3 linked regions of the Rattus norvegicus genome follow. The protein of the gene in region 1 interacts with the protein of each later gene in a pairwise test. Links are inferred from orthologs where the notes say so. Each region holds a gene or a part of one and is shown in the gene's direction. Other genes may lie near its edges. The genes, in order: Ndn, Ssx2ip and Zbtb1.

What was found.
Region 2: the proteins of Ndn (region 1) and Ssx2ip interact in a two-hybrid assay, tested with the Homo sapiens proteins (2 studies listed by BioGRID). The link is inferred for Rattus norvegicus from reciprocal best matches to the Homo sapiens genes NDN and SSX2IP.
Region 3: the proteins of Ndn (region 1) and Zbtb1 interact in a two-hybrid assay, tested with the Homo sapiens proteins (2 studies listed by BioGRID and IntAct). The link is inferred for Rattus norvegicus from reciprocal best matches to the Homo sapiens genes NDN and ZBTB1.

What each region holds. Positions count from the first base shown.
Region 1 is NC_086019.1:125,260,031-125,263,175, forward strand, and holds Ndn (necdin), read left to right. Parts: upstream 1-1,028; 5' UTR 1,029-1,095; coding exon 1,096-2,073; 3' UTR 2,074-2,628; downstream 2,629-3,145. UniProt on the Homo sapiens protein: Growth suppressor that facilitates the entry of the cell into cell cycle arrest.
Region 2 is NC_086020.1:237,985,942-237,989,594, forward strand, and holds part of Ssx2ip (afadin- and alpha-actinin-binding protein), read left to right. Parts: intron 1-1,696; coding exon 1,697-1,811; intron 1,812-2,328; coding exon 2,329-2,488; intron 2,489-3,617; coding exon 3,618-3,653. UniProt on the Homo sapiens protein: Belongs to an adhesion system, which plays a role in the organization of homotypic, interneuronal and heterotypic cell-cell adherens junctions (AJs).
Region 3 is NC_086024.1:100,844,171-100,847,923, forward strand, and holds the start of Zbtb1 (zinc finger and BTB domain-containing protein 1), read left to right. Parts: upstream 1-926; coding exon 927-3,068; 3' UTR 3,069-3,753.

The sequences.
Region 1 (3,145 bases):
ATTGGGAAAGATTTGGACGTGCGCCCAACATGGAATTAGTCATTTGCTAATGACGTAATGCAAGACGTGGAAGATTTCTTATAAACATGAAGATGTAACAGCAGTAAGCAGGGGGAAAGGGCACTGGGAGTGCATGAAAAATACACTATCATAAAATGTGTATTAATAAACATGTTGATCATTTCCCACTAGATTCTTAAGGGAATTTCTAAATGAAATCAAAGTGACCTAATAGAAATGCAGAGCCCAAATCCATAGTTATTAAAATAATTGTAAGCCAACAAACTAAGAATCCAACGATGAATGAATACATATAAATAATTTTATATATCTGTTTTGTTCATGTGGGACCTGGGGTTTAAACTCAGGTTCATGCTTGAACTGCAACAGCTCTTGCCCACTGAACCAAGTCCCATTTTAATTAAAATTTTAGACGCACATCAATTATGTTATATGAATCTACTTCTAAAACATTAAATTCTCACATGGATTGATTTCCAGTGTCTGTAACTATACTTTGCATTCTTCCTTGTTTGATACTGCTCAGATTTGTAACGATTTATCTCTATTAATAATTTCTCAACATTCTGATATTAGACAACACATCATCATCATCATCATCATCATCATCAGGTATGACTTTCCAAGAAAAGGTTATTTTTGTCTCTCCTATTCTTTTGTGGAAAACTCAAATTCAAGAATTAGTCTTCTTCCTCCAGGACCTTCACACTTAACTCAGTGTGTCGGAACTTAACTTCACCATCTCAGCTATATCTTTCTCCTTCAACTTGTTTCTTTCCCCACTATCACCCATCTCTGTCCCATACAGGAGACCAGGAGATCCTTTTCATAATACTAGTGGTACCCTCCCTTAGACCCCAGTGGTTGGGCTTTGCTACTTCGCTCCTATCCAGCCCTACCACCCTTCTGGCTTCCCACTACGCATGCGCAATATAGCGTCTGCCCCGCCCGGCCCGCTGCTGCGGAAGGCGCAGTGCTCAGTAAAGCGCACTTCCTCTGCTAGTATCCACTGAGGCAGTGCAGGCTCCGAGAGCTCCGAGTCGCAGCGGTCCTGCTCTGATCAAAAGACGCAGAATGTCGGAACAAAGTAAGGACCTGAGCGACCCTAACTTTGCCGCTGAGGACCCCGACACTGAGATGCAGGTCAGCGATGCTGTTCCGGTGGGGGTCCCTCCTCCCGCTCCTCTGGCCGCGAACCTCTCAGGGCCATCGTGCGCTCCGGAAGGCCCTATGGCAGCCCCACAGGCCTCGCCACCACCTGCAGAACGGTTTGAAGAGGTTGACCCTAAGATCCTGCAGCAGGCCGCAGAAGAGGGCCGCGCCCACCAGCCCCAGAGCCCAGCCCGGCCGATCCCAGCACCGCCGGCCCCTGCCCAGCTGGTGCAGAAGGCGCACGAGCTCATGTGGTACGTGTTGGTCAAGGACCAGAAGAGGATGGTCCTCTGGTTTCCAGACATGGTGAAAGAGGTCATGGGCAGCTACAAGAAGTGGTGCAGAAGCATCCTCAGGCGCACCAGCGTCATCCTCGCCAGAGTTTTCGGGCTGCACCTGAGGCTGACCAATCTCCACACCATGGAGTTCGCCCTGGTCAAAGCACTCAGCCCAGAAGAGCTGGACAGAGTCGCGCTGAACAACCGTATGCCCATGACAGGTCTCCTGCTCATGATCCTGAGTCTCATCTATGTGAAGGGCCGCGGGGCCAGAGAGGGTGCGGTCTGGAATGTGCTGCGCATCCTGGGGCTGAGGCCCTGGAAGAAGCACTCCACCTTCGGAGATGTGAGAAAGATTATCACCGAGGAGTTCGTCCAGCAGAATTACCTGAAGTACCAGCGTGTGCCCCACATCGAGCCTCCCGAGTACGAGTTCTTCTGGGGCCCCAGAGCTAACCGTGAAATCACCAAGATGCAGATCATGGAGTTCCTGGCCAGAGTCTTTAAGAAGGATCCCCAGGCTTGGCCTTCCCGCTACAGAGAGGCTCTGGAGCAGGCCAGAGCTCTGCGGGAGGCTAATCTTGTCGCCCAGGCCCCCCGCAGCAGTGTCTCTGAGGACTAAAATGTCCAGGAGCACATTGATAGTTTCTGACCCATACTAGGGCTGTGTAAGGGTGGGGTTGGACATTAGAGTATCCCAGATTCATAGTGCAGTATTTCATGTATAGTTTTTAAGTTTTCCATCCAGTGCTTTTTTTATCTTGTAATGCAATGTATTCAGTTGTGTACTCGTGTAGTGTTTAAAATTGATGCATGTGTGTTTTATAAGTGAGCAAGTTGGTACTTTCACTTCTGTGCTTTCTTGGATTTTTGTACAAGAGATGTGCTGTGCTAAACTTGTGAAATACATTGAGGTGTTCTGTATCTTGTTCTTTGAATGGGACTGATGGTCCGTATCGACAAAGAAGGCCCTGGAGAGTTAGCAGGACTTAACAACAACACAGACCTGACCAAGAGAAAGGTCAGGGTCCCTCTCCATATGACTCCAACTGGCACAGGAAACATCCATGTGGAATGGACTGATTTGAACTGGACTGTTTTCAGTTTAAGCACTTAGCACACTTTGCAAAACATGTATCCAACCCCACCATAAATAAACTTTAAAATGAGCATTAAATATACCGTGAAATAATTTCTTTGTTTGGGGGGGAGGCATTTATTTTGGTGAAAGGGGGAATGGGAGTGGGTAGGGATGAGAAAGATTCTCCCCGTGTACAACATGAGCAAGTATACTTCTAACAGAGTGGGAAAACACCACTCATAACCACTCAGAAGTTTTTTGAAAATTGTGGTGCTTCAAGAAATTGGTCACATTAAAGGCGTGATAACAAAAAAAGGCATGTTCACATAACGTGGGAATAATAACAGGAATTATGTAGGGACTGTCCCTTTTCTGTTTTGTTTTGTTTTGTTTTTTTGTTTTAAATAGTCTTTGGTGGGCACTTTAACAGAATGAAATATTGCTACTAAACCCTCGTTGTGCATTTTCTTCTTTATTTTATCCTCCCACCAGCCATAAGAAGTAAGGAATGACTGTATCAGCACAAAGCAAGAAAAATGAAAGGATGCTGGTAATGAAATACCCTAAAAATCATAGACCTTATACTGGAGTCTTGACACTTAGCTCCCCATGG
Region 2 (3,653 bases), on another chromosome or scaffold:
AGGTGGCTTGGGGTTAAGAGCACTGGCTGCTCCCCCGGAGGACCTGGGTTCAGTTCCCAGCACTCACACGGCAGCTCACAGCCGTCCGTGAGTCAGGTCTAGGGGAGCAGAAGCCTGTTCTGTATCAGGCACAGACATGTAGGCAAACCACCCATATACATGAAATATTTTTTAAAAAATTGAATTATTTATTTTAATTTTGTTGCAGCTAGACATTTCCTATGTCACCTCGTAGGCAGTGTTGTGGGACGCCTTCTGCGCAAGCTTAGGGGATTTTCACAGTTCCCAATCTCCTCAGGACACACTTAGTTTCTTCCTCTGAGAGTCCCGTGTCTTCCACGTAGAGGTGTTTTCTCCTGCTTGTTTCCTCTGTGTCTGTCTTCCCTGTTGTTTGACGGTGTCTGGCCCTCAGGTGTGCCTGTGGCTGACACTGGGTTCTAAGTTCTGGACATTTTTTATATTATTCTTTGGATCACCAAACTGTCTTTAGGATCAGTTTTATTATTTATTTCAGTCACTGACTTTTTTTTTCTTTTTTCTTTTTTTCAGAGCTGGGGACCAAACCCAGGGCCTTGCGTTTGCTAGGCAAGCGCTCTACCACTGAGCTAAATCCCGAACCCCTGATTTTTTTTTTTTTATTTCAGAATTTGTTTTTTTTTTATTTTTCTAGTACACTTAAATTTCCTTTTCTTTATATACTATTGTTGTCTTGCATGCGTTTTGAATCTTATAATCTGTGTGACGGCATTTTCAGAACTCTAGGAACACCGTTATTTGCAGTCAGTTTACCTTTGCTTTTCCTCTTCTGCTGCTGTTTGCCCCAGCGTGGGTCAAATCTGGTTTCGTATTCACAGTGTGAGTAACAGACTCAGTGCCAGGCATCCTAAGTCGCCTGCACGACTCCCCCACACCCTTACTTAAGCCCCGAGTGTTCCTCAGGCAGCCAGTGCCTCGTGTGCGCCTGGCAGCCGTGTGACCCTGCCCAAGAGTATGTCTGCTTGGAGACATGGGTGGCCATGACAGAGGAATGAGAGAAAATGTGGTTTAGGGATCATCACGTGATCATGAGGAGATTCTGTGTAATCATGTGATCAGAAGATGATCCTGTGTAATCTGTCTTTCCTCTTGTGGCTCCCACTGGCAAATGGCGACAAGACAAAAGAAATCTCCGGAGAGGTCAGACGTCTGTTTCCCAGTGGGTGATTTGTAAAGTGGGGGTTTTTCTGATATCAGTTTTGTGTTGCGTGTTCTTTGTGTCATAGTTCTGCTAATACTGTGTTCATGGGAAACCCAGCAGTCGATGGACTATCAGTGAAGTCTGTGGTTTTCATTATTTAAAGATTATTAGCCTATGTGTGCGGGTGTTAGACCTGAAGGTGAACATGTGTCCCTGGTGCCCTCAGAGGCCAGAGGATATCCTGTCACCTGAGTGGGTGCTCGAGACTCATGAGCCGTCTCGTGGGAGCTGGGAGTGGAGCCCAGGCCCTGTGTGGAGCATCAGGTGCTCTTAACCAGTGCAGCCGCCTTGCTGTCCCCAACTTTAGTTTCTTAAACGTGATTTTCTTGAGTCCTTTAGTTTCTAGGTGACTATTTCATGTAAGAAGGTACAGGTTGCAGAGGGGAAGCAGCTGGAGAAGTTCCTGAGAGGGAGAGAGAGTTAACAGTGGAGTAACTGCCTTCGTCTTCGTCCCACTAGAGAAAGGCGTTTGAGGAAGAGCGAGCCAGCTGGGTGAAGCAGCAGTTTTTAAACATGACGACCTTTGATCACCAGAACTCAGAAAATGTGAAACTTTTCAGTGCCTTTTCAGGAAGTAAGTGTTGACGTGTGTCTGGTTGGAATGTGTCCCAGTCCGGCGCCGAGCGAGCTGGCAGCCCCAGTGCGTACAGGATGGCCTATCTGGAGCTGAAGACTTAGTCTAAGTGTTTTAATCTCTCTCTGCCTACCCGTGTTCAAGTTCTAGTGATCAGACCCAGGAACTCAACCTGTAACAGGCTACTATTCTACCAAGGAGCCAGACCCCTAACCCCCAAAAACCAGCTTAATGGTTTATTTACTTAAGTCAGAGTGAGGTTCATGGGAGAAGCATGCATATAAAAAGTGCTCTTGTGGGTTTATGATGATGCTATCCATGTTCATGAAAATTTGTGATCTTAGAAACTGACCATTTTTAAGCTAGGCCCCTCTCTCTGGAGATTGTGTGACAGAGATGGCAGGTAATTTATTCTTTCTCAAAGTCCACTCTGAATTGCAAGTGCTTGATCCTGGTTCGTGATCTCCGTGGTTGATAGTTTACCATGTGTCCTGTTCTTTCTCTTACTCATAACCAGGTTCTGATCCAGACAATCTTATAGTCCACCCACGGCCACGGCAAAAGAAGCCACACAGTGTCGCTAATGGGGTACCAGCTTGCACATCCAAACTGGCTAAGTCTCTTCCGACCTCACCTTCAGACTTCTGCCCGTCTCGCTCATGTGTGTCTGAGCACAGGTATTTGTTTTTAAGTGATCGTTTCACACACTTCTAAAATTGGTTAACATTGTATTGCTTAGAAGAAGTTGGTGTGTGAGTGTGTGTGTGTGTGTGTGTGTGTGTGTGTGTGTGTGTGTGTGTGTGTGTCTTATGACAGTGTACACTTTGGAAAGAAATTAGATTGACTTATTTATTCTGTCTGCAGAGAGATTGCCAGTGTGTGAGGCTTAGAGCCACGTTTAGAACTCTAGTAGATCCAGTCCACTCCTGTCTGTCTCTGCTCACATTTGAAGTCTAGACTTCTGGGCCAGTGCGGTGCACAGCTTTCACCCTGTACTCAGGGAACAGGCTGTCTTGCTGTACGTGGCAAGTTCTAAGTTAGACAGCGCTACATACCAAGACACTACCTTAAAAGAGAGACTAAGGCGATTATGTCATGAAACATTTAAAACTCTAAGTACTTTGATCATGCTGAAGACTGCCGTTTTGGTAGTTTTTCAGAGTACCTAACTTAAGTTTCTTTGGTATGCTCATAGCGTGGGTATTGAAGGGCAAAGAGCCGAGGAAAAGCACTTCCTCAGGTTGGTAAGAAAATTCCTGCCTCAGGTAGAAGTATTAAAGCAGCTTATTCCCTGTCCTCAGGGCACGTGCATATATAATTTTCTAAGATGATTTAAGTCTGTTTTTAGGTCTAATCTAAGAACTGTGGAGCAAATGTGAGAGATTTAAACAGAGGAGGTAAAGGGAAACACGAACTCTAATAAAATAGCATCGCACATTTCTCTGTGGGAATGGACGTGGAGTGCCGTGCAGTGGGAGAGCAGGTTGGAAGGCACGGTTGGAGCTGAGAGATGATATTTCTTTGGAATTGGGTCATAAAAGGAGCCCAGAGCTAGTGAAGTGATGGGAGGTCAGATATGGGAGTGATCATTGCTGTGCAGGACCCTGCCGCTCAGCCTCACCCCGTGTGTACATGGAAGTCTGAGGAAAGCACTTCCAAGCGCATCCTCCTGATTTCCTGAGTGGGTCTAACATCATTAGTGCAGACGTGGGGGTAGTCAGACGTGAGACATTCGGGAACACCTGCTCTAAACGATGACCAAGGAGCAGATACTAGCTTCTGAGATTTACCTTGTTTTCCCGACAGTCCCGTCAGTGCGCTGACTGTGACTCCTGAAGAAAC
Region 3 (3,753 bases), on another chromosome or scaffold:
CTTTTGTTGTTTATATCTTTTGGATTAATGTCTGGTCTCGTTCAGATTTATTACGTGTTTCTTCCTCTAGGATGAAAACAATTTTGGTGTGTATATGTTTGTTTTTGTACAGAGGCCTCTGTGTGTGTGTGTGTGTGTGTGTGTGTGTGTGTGTGTGTGTGTGTGTGTGTGTAGGCCAGAGGTCAACCTTGGGTGTTATTCCTTGGGTGCTGTCTACCTTGTTTCTTGAGATGGTTTCTCGTTGGCTTGGTACTTCGAAAATAGGCTGGCCGGTTGCAGTGGGTCTGCCCCATGCCCTGCTTTTTTTAGATCTGTGGTTTCTGGTAGTCCTCATGCTTGCTCCTTTGTGTGCACACAAGGTCTCATGAGTAGCCTTGGCTGGCCTGGAACTTGCTCTGTAGACCAGGCTAGTCTGGAATCCTCTGCCTCCTGAATTCGGCTGTAAGGGACTAAAGACTGCCCCAGCACAGCAGCCATGTCAGAGCCGGGCCCTCACGCTTTCTTGGTTCTTTTTTTTTTTTTTTTTTTTTTTCCCCGGAGCTGGGGACCGAACCCAGGGCCTTGCGCTTCCTAGGTAAGCGCTCTACCACTGAGCTAAATCCCCAGCCCCACCCTCACGCTTTCTAAGACAAGTACTCCACCAACCAAGAGATCTTGGGTTTGGATTTATTAAGGATTATGGAAATATTAAGGATTTTGCTTCTGATTCCTTTTGTTCAATATAAGAAAACTGAAAAAATAACTAGGTATTTTCATCTTCAAACTTAAAAAAAATTACCAGCTTTTGCTTCATTAGTGTAGAAAACCATGCTTTGATTGTAATAGCAAAAGTACACCAGTCAAACATGATGCTAGAGTGCCCTTTTTAGCGCCTTCCTGCCGCCTGACTGTCATGTCCTTGTTTTACACAGGCTCACCGGCAGGAGATGGCCAAGCCCAGCCACAGCAGCTACGTCCTGCAGCAGCTAAACAACCAGAGAGAGTGGGGCTTTCTGTGCGACTGCTGCATCGCCATTGACGACACTTACTTCCAAGCACACAAGGCCGTGCTAGCTGCCTGTAGCTCCTACTTCAGGATGTTCTTCATGAACCATCAGCATAGCACTGCCCAGCTGAACCTCAGCAACATGAAGATCAGCGCCGAGTGCTTCGATCTCATTTTGCAGTTCATGTATTTAGGGAAGATTCTGACCGCTCCTTCCAGTTTTGAGCAGTTCAAAGTGGCTATGAACTACCTCCAGCTCTACAATGTTCCTGACTGCTTAGAAGATATACAGGACTCAGACTGTTCCAGCTCGAAGTGCTCGTCTTCCGCCTCCAGCAAACACAACAGCAAGATGATCTTTGGGGTGAGGATGTATGAAGACACAGTGGCTAGAAACGGCAGTGAAGCCAACCGGTGGAGTGCGGAGCCCAGTTCAACGGTGAATACGCCACATAACAGAGAGCCTGAGGAGGAGTCTTTACCGTTGGCCAACTTTCCTGAGCCACTGTTTGACGTGTGTAAAAAAAGTTCCGTGTCCAAGTTATCTACTCCAAAAGAACGTGTGTCGCGACGCTTTGGACGGAGTTTTACCTGTGACAGTTGTGGGTTTGGCTTTAGCTGTGAAAAGCTGCTGGACGAACACGTGCTGACCTGCACCAACAGGCACTCCTACCAGAGCACGGCGAGAGCCTACCACCGAGTGGTGGATGCTAGAGATGGGAAAGACAGTGCCATCAAAGCTGAACTCGGTGACAAGGGCTCTCCTACAGCGTTTTCTGCACACACAGACAAATACAGAGAAGACGCCAGCCAGGCGCCCGATGACTCAGCCTCGCCCACTGGGAGCAGAAAAAGCACTGTGGAGTCCGGCACAGCTGGTGAAGAGAAGAGCAGAGCTGCGGAGACAAAAAGAGTTGTCATCAAGATGGAGCCAGAGGACGTCCCTGCAGACGACATGAAGGACTTCACCATCGTCAAGGTCACCGAGAAAGACTGCAACGAGTCCACCGACAACGATGAGCTAGAGGACGAGCCCGAGGAGCCGTTCTACAGATACTACGTCGAGGAAGATGTTGGCATTAAAAAAAGTGGTAGGAAAACCCTAAAACCTCGGATGTCCGTCGGCGTGGATGAAAGGGGTGGTTTGGAGAACATGAGACCCCCAAACAACAGCAGCCCCAGACAGGAGGACGCCGAGAATGCGTCTTGTGAGTTGTGTGGGCTCACGATAACGGAGGAGGACCTGTCCTCTCATTACTTAGCCAAGCACATTGAAAATATCTGCGCATGTGGTAAATGTGGGCAGATACTTGTCAAGGGCAGACAGCTTCAGGAACACGCTCAGAGGTGTGGCGAACCTCAGGACCTGACGATGAACGGGCTGGGGAACACTGACGAGAAGATGGACATGGAAGAGAACCCAGATGAGCAGTCTGAGATAAGAGACATGTTTGTTGAGATGCTGGATGATTTCAGAGACAATCATTACCAAATAAACAGTATCCAGAAAAAACAGTTATTTAAACATTCTGCCTGTCCTTTTCGATGTCCTAATTGTGGCCAGCGTTTTGAAACTGAAAATCTAGTGGTGGAGCATATGTCTAGCTGCCTAGACCAAGACATGTTTAAGGGCGCCGTCATGGAGGAGAATGAACGAGATCACAGACGGAAACATTTCTGTAACCTGTGTGGAAAAGGCTTCTATCAGCGCTGTCATTTGAGAGAGCACTATACTGTTCATACTAAAGAAAAGCAGTTTGTTTGTCAGACATGTGGGAAGCAGTTTTTAAGAGAGCGCCAGTTGCGTCTGCACAATGATATGCACAAAGGCATGGCCAGGTATGTCTGTTCCATTTGTGATCAAGGAAACTTCCGAAAACATGACCATGTACGGCATATGATCTCGCATTTGTCTGGTGGTGAGACTATATGCCAGGTCTGCTTTCAGATATTCCCAAATAATGAACAACTGGAGCAACACATGGATGTCCATCTGTATACGTGTGGAATATGTGGAGCAAAGTTTAATTTGAGGAAGGATATGAGATCACATTATAATGCCAAGCATTTGAAAAGAACCTGATGGGTTTCTCCTGTACACATGTTTAGTTGCTAGGCAGAACACCAAAGCAAAGAGGAGATGAGCTATTTAGAACTGATTTTATAACAAGTGTTGAGGGAATCTTCAAGGCCCTTTTACTTTGAACGTTTTTGTTTAGGACCTTAAGTATATTTTAGGCATTAATGTTTATCATTTTTGTTGTTTTTGAGAGCATTCTTTGTTCCTAGTTTCTTAACTACCATTAAAATTACTTTTCGATGTAGACTGTTAAGTGGCTGTTATCCCTTCAATGACTATTAAAACTAGTTTTTTGGGTTTTTTCTTTTTAATTTTTTTTTGGGTTTTTTTTGTTTTGTTTTGTTTTTTTAACCAATAAGGTAAAAACTTTGCTATTTCTATGTACTTTCATTTTAAGGTCATCCTATGAAATTTTAAACCCAAGATTATTTACCATTCCTGCTTAAATTTTTATAGAATTTTAAAATAATTATTTAAAACTATTCTATTTGTTTTTAACTTTTTGTTTTTTGCTTTTTGGGTTTTTGGGGGTTTTTTTGTTTGTTTGTTTGTTTGTTTGTTTGGCGGGGGGCTTTTTGTCAGTTGTATAGTGGGGTGGCTACTATTCTCCCTTATAAATGAAATCTATATTCTTAAATTGACAAACTTATTAGGCAAGTGAGGTGCACTGAATCTAACCTTTAAGGTT